Drosophila melanogaster: one gene and its partner. The protein of the gene in region 1 purifies or fractionates together with the protein of each later gene. This does not show direct contact. Each region holds a gene or a part of one and is shown in the gene's direction. Other genes may lie near its edges. The genes, in order: jeb and Alk.

Region 1 (5,268 bases):
CTCCTCGACGACGACATCGTCCGTCGAAAAACGACGCCAGCCAGGCGCTGATTTTCCCCAAATGCCCCTACTCCTTGAAATTTCCCCACTCCCAAGCCCCATACCCATGTTACCATTTCCATATCGCTGCTCGAGGGCTCGCGCTCTTGTTTCCCCAACTTTCGTGGGTGGGTTGGTGCTATCTCCTGAATGAAAATCCGCCGCTTCGATTTTTGTTGTTGACGTAGTCGTCGCCTCTTCAGTTTGCGCCTGCGCACTCCAGCGGCAGAATCATCTGTTGTTGTCCCCCCACCAGGAATCCTTCGCTCGCCTGTGGTCCCAGCAAGTGCATTTGGCTTGTGGTAGGACCATGTTGCGGGCCAGGCGTATTGGGGGCGGCGAAAGGTCCTGGCCAGGCTCAGCTGTTTGCCGTCGCCTGTAGAGTTTTCCAAACGAGCCGGAGACTTTCGGGTCGTGCAACAAATTGAGAGGCCAAGCCGGCTTTTTGCATGTAGACTTTCAAACAGAGAGATATGGCTTGGAGATCGAAATAATATCGAATTTAGTTATATTACAGCAGTAAAGCAAACATTATGGTGAAATACTAAATATAGTCATGTAGGAGTTTACAAGCGTACATTAAGTTTATCTTATAGCCCTTTCTTAATAAATAATTAATTTACTGTATTAACTTAATTTTCTATGTTCAGACTTGATTGATAAAATATTGCTATGAATGACTGTATTCTCCAGTTGTATTCTCACCTTCTTTTTACGCTCGACTCCGAAACTTTTTCGATTATACATGGCGACTATTCACCTTTTCGTCCATTCAAAACTCTCCACACCGTGGAACAAGTCCATTCACGTAGCTTAAGCTCGCGATTCAATTTCACCTCGGCTCGGATATCATTACGTTGGCACGGCGAATATATTATAGCTCGCTCGTAAAACGTAAAAGCCACAGACATTGTGACGACAAAAGGACTCGTCTTCGTCCTCGGTCTGCCACGCCTCCCCACCCCCGCCCCCAGCCTTCAGCTGTTTGTTGTGTGCAACAGCAAGAACAATGGCAAAAATCGAAAAACGAAAAGCGAAAAGCGGGCTGCAAGCAACGATGACGCCTCTGCCACAGGACATTCTCCTTCATTCATGTTGGCTTACACCCGAATCGAAGGGTCCTTCGGCTCTGCGTCCTCCCCTTTCCCGATTCGTATTCGGTTCGCCAGCTTTAATGACTTGCAATCTATGTGCTCATTTTTATTCACAATATATCCTCGGCGCTGCTGCTGCGTGAGTTGTATTTTGCCAGTAGATATATGTACATGTAGGTATGTATGTACGTATCTCGCCAGTGTGGTTGTCAATCGTTTTCGACTTTTGAAATGTAGGGGAAATGTACCGCTAGTTCGTTGGGCGGTCGATCGGCATATTCCATAAGAAAGGGGCTTGTAAATATCACGGGAAATGTACTAAGTTATCATAAGTTATGGCACATAAGTTGTTGCCAAATCTTTTGCACTGGCTGTTATGATCAGAATCTATTATAGTTATTATAACTGCATTTATATATCGTGACTTCATTTAGTTTATTTGGTTTCTACTAACCGTCTTTAAGTATTGCAGTATTAATTTGTTCAATAATTAGGAATATATTTTACGGTAATTATGACGAACATTAAAATGAAAGATTTCTTAAAAATGTGGTTGTTAAAAAGGTTGTTAAATGTTTGAAACTTATATACAAACATCTTCTGTTACAAAAGGGTTACAAAAATGTTGGTCGACATGCATTAGGTAAGTGATTTCAGTGAAAATCCCATTAGTTGCCCATTAATGAAATCACAAACCTTAGCTCGGGAGAAACCAGATTTGTGGTATCACTTAATTTTCCCACAATTGATTTTTTCCGGCAAGAAAACACAACGCGATTCCGGGTAAGCCCAGTGAAAAGTGCATTCAGTGATTGAATCCTCGGCTGTTGTTGGGATTAGTGGAGCCACAGCTGATGACAGCTAAATGGGATTACCCAAATTCGAGTCGAACTGGGGAAATGCCCCGCCGGAACGAAGGACTCCGATGCGGATGTTGAACAACCCACGCAAACTGGCGACCGCAAATCATATGGCATCTGGGAAATGGAAAACAGGGAGTCAATGATGCCGGTAACGGTGCACAGTGCGCAGTAGCAGGCACTCTCTCTCACTTTCTCTCATCCCGTTAGGCTTCGGGAAAAACTCTACACATGAGGCTGGTTGAAAACAAGTGGTTGAGCGGCCGCAGTGCTCAGTATAGAGCGAACAGTCGTTTCGAGCTCGAGTTTTTCCCGCTGACCGAGAGCACACAAGCTGGAGCTGAGGAAGCCCAGAAGCAGCAGTAGCAGTAGCAGCAGGAGCAGCAGGAGAAAGCAGAGAAAGCGGCGAAAGGAGCAGGGAGCCAGGAGCCAGGAGCCAGGAGCACGGAGAAAGAGCAAGGAGAAAGGAGAAAGGAGCCAGAGAGAGAGAGAGCGGAGAGTAGCCAGCCCAGCAGCCAGCGGTTCGTCCGAGGAGTGAAATTCGAGGCGGGGCGTGCAGGGAGTGGGTGTACGAGTGCGACTACGACAACGACTGCCACATAAAGTGGAAATCCGAAACGCCTTGAGGAGCGGCAGCGACGTCGACGCGGGCAGCGACAGCGACCGCGACGCCGACCGAGGCAGAGGCAGTGGCAGAGGGACACGCGTCAGGCGGCCAAGCAAAAGGCAGACAAACAGGCAAATCCTGCTGAGACGACACGACGAGTCCTTGCTCGTCGGTTCAAACGTGCGGAACACTCTTGGAGCCAGGCGATAAAAAAGAATATAACAAAAAAAAAAAAAAATATACACACTAGTAGCAAAGCTAGTCCACTAAAACATCACTCACCCAGAACAAGGGAAAGTTTTCACACCACAAACGAAAGCTGAATAACAACACAAGAAAATTATATACCCAAGAAACCAAAGTGCCGCGAACAAAAACTAACTAATAAGCCTAAGGTCTAAATCGAAATCGAGTGGACTGGCCAGTGAAAAGAAGAACGCCAAGTTAAGTGCCCGAAAAAATATACAGATAATATCGAAAAATAACGAAACCATAAACAACGGTCGTTGCAAGGCATCCACAAAAACGCGATAGCCAAAAAGTTTGAAAAAGAAAAAAAAAACACACACACACAAATTTGGAAAAGTTCGAAATTTTCGAAAAAACTTCGTTCGGTGCAGGCCAGTGTAGTGCAATGCCAGGCTTAGGCCGGCACAGTGTTGGTCAGCGGTGTGGGGCCTGAAGACCCACAAAAGCCGTGTGTGCAAAGCATCGAAAGTCCAGAGAGAAACATTGATATCGGGACTTTCCCTCACCACCATTCACCGCCACCAGCCCCGAAAAACCACCTGCCACCAGTCTCTATAACTCCCGCCCCCACCCCCAAACACCATCCCCCCGGACTAGCAAACTAACTGTATTTTCCCCTTGGTAAACCCCCTGGTAAACCCGAAACCGCCAAGATAAGCCGTCTAATCGAGAAGCTGCGCCAGACCAACAAACGGAAAATGTTCTGCTCGCTGGCCCAGACGCTCTTCTGCGTCCTGCTCATACAGGGCGGCCTCTATGCCCTCCATCTGAGCGGAAACGGAAATGGCAACGGGAACGGGAATGGGAACGGCGAGAAGTCGCTGGGCGAAGCCAAGGCAGTGCAGGTGCCCAGTCATCCCGTTGGACCCTCGACGGGAGTAGCCGCCGCCTGGCAGACCGCACCCTCGCAGCAGCAGCAGCACCAACAGCATCCCGGAGGATCTCCGCCCGGCGGTGGATCCTCGCCGCATGGCCATCGGTCCGCCGCAGCGGCCGCCTTCGATGCCACCACCGTGCGGCTGAACAAGGAGATAGCGGATATGGCCCAGCTGGAGCGAGAGCGACTAATGCTCCTGGCCCGCGCCAAGCAGACGGCGGAACAGCCGCCGGCGGGCAGTAATCATCGCGGTCATCCCTTCATTGCCGGCCGGATACAGATGCAGCCCAGCGAGGAGCTGGAAGTGGGCGACTATCCGGCGCTGTTGCAGCAGGCCGCACGGGGCTACATCTTCGGTAATGTGCAGAAGCAACCACCGACGCCGGTTACCCTGGAACAGGATTATGAGCAGCTGAGGGATCTGGAGAATAGACCCGTTAAATACTACGGAAGAGTGGTGCAGCCAGCGGAGAGGGAGGAGCAGGTGGAGGCTCTCTACGAACCGCTGCACTCGTTCGGCGACTTTGATGACTTCTCGGAACTGGAGCAGGAACCGCAGGAGCCGCACTTGGGCGAGGATGAGTTGCTGCGTGAACTGGATGCCTATCAATATCACGGCCTGGAGGACGAAACCCTTCCGGAGAATCCCTATCGCACGCTGGAGCAATTGGAGCTGGGTGCACCCGACTCCCTGCAGCAGCTCTTCGAGCAGGAACAGGAGCAGCGAGATGCCCCCTTCAAGGCGATGCACACCGGCAAAATCCACAACCCGGGCAACTACAACATAAGGGTGCAGCAAAAGTGGGCGAGGAAACGAAATGGCCAGGGCATTGCCCATAATCCTGAGGCGGAAAAGCAGCTGCAGCGCCAGATCTTCGCCCAGCACTTCAAGCCACAGCGCAATGGCAAACTATCGCTGTCCGCCAACTCGGAGGCCACGGCCAGCAAGCACCTGAAACCATCCACTCGCTCCGGCTCCAAGGATAACGAGAAGCCACATAGCGAGCTAGGTAGCAGTGCATCCTCGGCCGTCTCCTCCGCCACTTCTTCCTCCGGCAAACAAGCCGCCGGCGATGGACTACCTAAACAGCAGCAGGTGGAGCAACAGTCGCAGCAGGACAAAAAGGATCCCAGCCATAAGCGATCCGGTTCCGGATCGGCGGGATCCATGGGATCGCCAGGAGGCGGTTACTCAGCGCAGCCACCGATTTCACACAGCATAGCCAGCCAGCTGATGCTGCGCACCGCCCGCGGTCAACGGCAATACGATGTGCCACAAATCGGTGAGTTATACCTATAAATTCCCATTATATAGAGGCTTGAGCTGGGGTTTCAATGGTGGACTATGGGGGAGGAATCGTTGGAACCTAGCCGACTTCAACGCTGACCTTTAGCCGACTGTCTGGCATTAATTCGATCCAATCGAACATGCACCCAGCGCAAGAAATAAAACCTCAATGAAATCTAATTAGAGTGAACTTTCGAAATTCTAAAATAGTTAGTCAAAATTAAAAGCAGGAAATAGTTGGTTTGCAGCCAAGT
Region 2 (5,183 bases), 4.5 Mb from region 1:
CTTTTGGATACCAAAAAATTGTGCTGTGTATAATGTGTGCCAAAAAATGTAAGAAGGGAATACGAAAATGTTGTATATGCCACGCATAAATCAGAGAGAGTAAAAGAGAAGGTCGAGCGAGGGGGTAAAATTTGATTGGATTTCGTTTAACGTGTGGAAAATGATTGAAACTTTTGCAGCTGAGGGTTTTCCACTAACTTTTTTTCCCAGCCAAGTTGTGCGCCAAATGCGAAAAATACCAAGCTGTCCGATTTCCGGGTCGCTGGGGCGTCTCACTTTCACTTTTCTCCAAGGATTGCGCTGTGTGTGTATGTGTGTGTGTGTATGATGTGTGCTTGTGTGTTATTTGCGTGTATGTTGGTGACACAACCAAGGCAACAGAAGCAACACCGAGCACAATCACTCGTCCTTGCAGTCACACAAAAGTTGATGTCCAGAAAAGAGCAATTGGATTTGCCGCAGGCCGTAAATATTTCTTAATGCAAAAAACAAAGTGCTGTGCTGAAGCTGAGGGCCGTTAACAATAATTAGATTTTTCTCTACTCAGGCATTCGGCCAACACGCACACTCACACACACCCACACAGAAAGCAGAAGCGTTTTGCTGGACGAGAAATGAACCGTTTTGCACGAGGCACAGAAGCGTTCTGGCCAAAATATTCGTGTCTACCTCTGAGGAGGAGTCCTTTTTCGAGTCCGCAGCCTCTGCGCATGTCCCACGGCCATCGATCCGCCTCGACGGTGGTGGCCACCAGCTACCCAGACCACCGTAATCCTGGCCAGCGCAACGTGGCCCACAGCCACTTGTTTGCATCATCGCGTGTTTATCCCGCCGATGCGCAGGCGCCGCCAAACATAAACAATGTCCAAGCCTAATGGATGACAGTTACCCCATGACAGTTGACAGTTGGGCTATCGGACCACTTGACATGCGCTCCTTGGACCGCCGTTCGCCTCCTGTCGACCGCCCAGGGCTTCGTATTTCGGTGTGCGGTGGCAACCCTCGAGGCACTTGAAAAAAAGACCACAGACCGCACAGAAAATACAATGAATTACGGAATTCATACAATACAATATCTTAAAAATAAACATATTCCCTGGGCTTGTGTGTTTTATTTATTGAATTAAACGATGGTAACAATTTTGCACTAATTTTTCATAAGTTTATTTTTTGATCGCGTCAAGAACTACTTTCTTTCTGAGAAACGAATTATTTTACATGTTTCTAAGAAATTAAAAACTATGTAAAGCGAAAGTCATTATCCAGTACACAAATAAACTCCTTCAGCTTTAACTTGTGCCATTATCGCCTGATTTGTCCCACTGTGATCATCAGAGCTTCGTTTTTGCGAACTTCCGTTTTGCCTCAGATATTGCAGCTTCAGTCGCAGAATCATTAATTACTTTCGCAGCTACCCCAAGCGAAAAGAAACAGTCGCAGTGCTGGCTAAAAATATCTCCCCTTGCGGCACAGCGCACATAACATAAATCTTCCGGCTGATCGGACTAGCCACATCGAACGGCAGCAGCAGCAGTCGCAGCAACAGCAGGTAGGCCAGCCGGAGGTCAGGGGTCAGACTAAAGGCTGCACAATGTCCAGGCCGTGACGCCACATCCCCGCGGCGATTGGTGAAACGCACAAGTCAATTCCAATTGCATTACCACTTGACACGTCGCGACGAAAACAAATAAACAAACACACACGAACCCAAGGATGCGGCAGCCGTGAGAAAAAAATAAACACGAAGAACGCACCAGCAGATATATCTCGTTCAGCAGTCGCCAGATGAGATGGACTCAGTTCGGGTAGCCAGTTCTTCGGTCGACGCCTCCGCATCGGTCTTTAGCTTCTGGCCGATCTCAGCCGCCTGCTGTTATTCAGTATTCATCGAACAGTCGCATCTCTCAGTCGCCCAACGGATGTTGCAGCACCACAGGAACTACACAGATATTTACGCGATTCCATAGATTCTCGTTCTCGTAGTCGAGAAACTGAAAGCGAAATCAATGGTATCCGCAAGATACACGCTCGTGTGCGCGGCTTTAAGTGAATATAATTGAAGACCAAGTGATATAAATAGTTGGATAAACTCTTTCTTCAGCCGCGACACGTGCCGGGCACACTTTTCCCCTTTCGAAAAATTGAGTGAGTTTTACCCCTAAAATATCGAAAAACTATTTTTAAACATATATATGTATATATTATAGTGAAGTGCATCTGCTAGATGCAAATTGCGTATACTGAATATTTTATGTGCCAATTTACGCATCCCTAAACATTTTACGGGCCCGTTTGCTTTACCAAAATGAGGAAAACATCAAAAAATATCAATTATATTTTTATAAATGATAGAAGGAAGTCTACTCGACTGTGCTAGATGTTGTTTATATTTGATTTACTTGATTCTTTGGCACAATATAGACTTTTTACCGCCGTTTTCGGACTAAATTTAAAATTCAACACGCTCGTAGTCGTCAAAGTGGATGCTGAGTTTTCTTCTGATCATGCCCGCTTTTCTTCTCTCTTCTTTCGATTGCTTTTTGTTGTCTGCGATTTCCTACAGCTGCCGACGACACTTATAAATATATTTGCATATATTAGCGTGTTCTACAGATATAGTATCGCACGTACGTACATATATCTGCACATGTACTCTTATCTGCGCGATTCTATATTAATTTTCGCTTACTTGTCGCTCTATGTCTGTGTTGCCCATTTCCGTTTGTTGTCGTCATTAATTGATGTTGTTTATGCCAAATAAAAATATTATTTCTGCAAAAGAAAATAGGGTTTTGTATTATCGAATTTTCTTAGAAATGTGGGAAAGAGTTAGCTGGGGATAATTATGAACATTTATATGTTATAATGCATGCTAAAACATTGTGCAATTAGTACTTACTACTTAAATATTTATAACACTTCAGTTTAGAAAACACTAATCAGTGTTTATGCAACATTTATTATTTGATTCAGATTTATTTCAAACATCTATGATTGTGTACACTAGTATTGTGTACACAAGTTTTTAAACGACCCCAAAAACCCTTCGTGCACATTTCAATATTTAGCGAGTAACCATTTGACCTTTCATCATGTATCATTTATTATTTTATTTTTTTTGATTTCATTTACAAATTACCATTGAAAAGCAGAAAATTCAATTAGGTTTCCGCGAAGTGCAAGTCGGGCCTTTGCAAACCTGGCCAATGGCACCTGTTGGTGGCGAGGCAAATGCACCTTGCGTTAAGACCAGGCTTACTTAAATTACAAGTGTCCGGCTTATAAGCCAGCACGTCACAATCTCCGAGGGGCGAAAAAGGACCAAGATAAATGCATTTGTGTCGCATCCGTGACTCTGATTAGGTGATATTACATCGCCGGACGAAAGGACGCAGGAGGCGCAGAATGGGGTCCTTAATGCACTGCAAATTGAAAGAGGAAACGCAGCTACGACTGAAACTGACGCACAAGCAGGCCCATCGCACCCCGCCCCCCCCCCCCCCCCATCGGAATAGGGGGGTTTCGCCACTGCAGCGGCTGATGGAGCTAAATTCAATTTCCAGTAGTTTGCATTAATTTCCCGGCTTATGCCGACCGCCAGAGTGCGCCACTGTCGCTGCCTCCCTTTCCTCCCCCTTCCGTTTCCATCACATTTTTCTCACTTTCACATGCAATCTGAAACAGCAACAGCTTTCGCTGGCTGAAATGTGTGGAGAACGAGTGAGCTCTGTGGAAAATCCAGCGAGTCGGAGAAGAAATTTCCTCAATTTCCAAACGCATCTGTAACTGTGCGCTCGTGTATCCTGTGGCTCGATTTCAGGCGCAGGATATTCGTTTAGCCACCGACGCGAGATGCCGATGCCGATGCCGATGCCTAGGATGCTGGCCGGGCTTTAACGAATTTCCCCACATTTCAGTCTTCGTTTGCCGAGCGTCGTGCGCGCAAGTATCCCTCAGAATCGCGGATAGACGGCCTCAAAAAAAAACAACAAGATATACCCAAAAAAAAAAGAAGATAAATCTGAAGAAAACCAATATATGTAGTACCATCAACAACAGTGCTAGAAAAGTTAATACTACAAAAGAGAGCAAACACAACCAGCAGCAAATGAAAAAGAAAAGGAAACGTGAAAAGTGTAGCTGAAAACTTCATATTCTTCGAATAAAAACCATATTTTTCCCCGAAAGATACATAATTCAAGAGAAGCAGAGCTTACGAAAATTTCGGTTGAGCCACAAATCAGTGCGTAATGGTAAAAGTGATTACATATTCGAAACTGAAATGTGAAATCATTGCATTCAATTTGAAATAATGATGAGCAGTGAAAAATCGAATGAAAAATTTGTTGAGCTGCAGGAAAAATTTCGTTACTTCCAAGCTTGCGTGTGTGTGTGCGTGTATGTGGTGTGTTTTTTTGTGTAGTATCTTTTGTGCGCCTCGGCTGCTCTGTATCTGTAAGATACGCAAAACAATTTGTCTGCGCCATTAGTAGCGAAGAGTGTCCTATGTGTGTGTGTATCCTGCGCAGTCAACGATACCGAGGCTGCGTCTCGCATCCTGGCAAATCCTTGCCACCATCGCCATCTAAATTGGAGTCGGGCACAGAGGGCAGCGCAATATTTGCGACGTTGACGCAGCCCCCACTCGCTCCTTCTAATGTAGTTGTTGTTGTTGTTGTTGCTGGTCCTGCTCCTATGGCGGCAATGTGTGTGTATCTGCAAAATACGATATACAGACCAAGGATACTGTCCATGTGCTAGCGCTCTTTTGTTGCTTCAGTTCGAAATTTGGACTATATTATTGTGGCTTCCGTTTAATTTTCTTTTTATTATTTCTGGAAAACTTCGGTTAAGAACACAATAACATTTTTATTATGTCGAGTAATATCTGTATTAATTGACTAGTTTTCGGGTAATAACTCAATGTGCACAGACACTGAAATAACATAAATATGGATTGTTTCCAATGTTTCCTGCACAAATAGATTTGATTCTCAAAACTCTTATATAAACTTTACATAATAGTTATATTTCAAACTTAAAGAAATACCCTTTAAGTACTTTTTAAGTGCTATATCTATTTTAGATATGAGTTTGGACCGATTATAGTATCCTGGCAGTAGAAAGTTAGCTTCAAAATAAGATAAACCTTACTTGAATTGAAATCAACATTTCTAACGATT

Evidence for each region.
Region 2: the proteins of jeb (region 1) and Alk purify together in Drosophila melanogaster (affinity purification with western blotting; 2 studies listed by BioGRID). This does not show direct contact.

Annotation. Positions count from the first base shown.
Region 1 is NT_033778.4:12,116,340-12,121,607, reverse strand, and holds the start of jeb (jelly belly), read left to right. Parts: upstream 1-2,267; 5' UTR 2,268-3,547; coding exon 3,548-5,009; intron 5,010-5,268.
Region 2 is NT_033778.4:16,636,708-16,641,890, reverse strand, and holds the start of Alk (anaplastic lymphoma kinase), read left to right. Parts: upstream 1-1,879; 5' UTR 1,880-2,145; intron 2,146-3,915; exon of another isoform or gene 3,916-4,243; intron 4,244-5,183.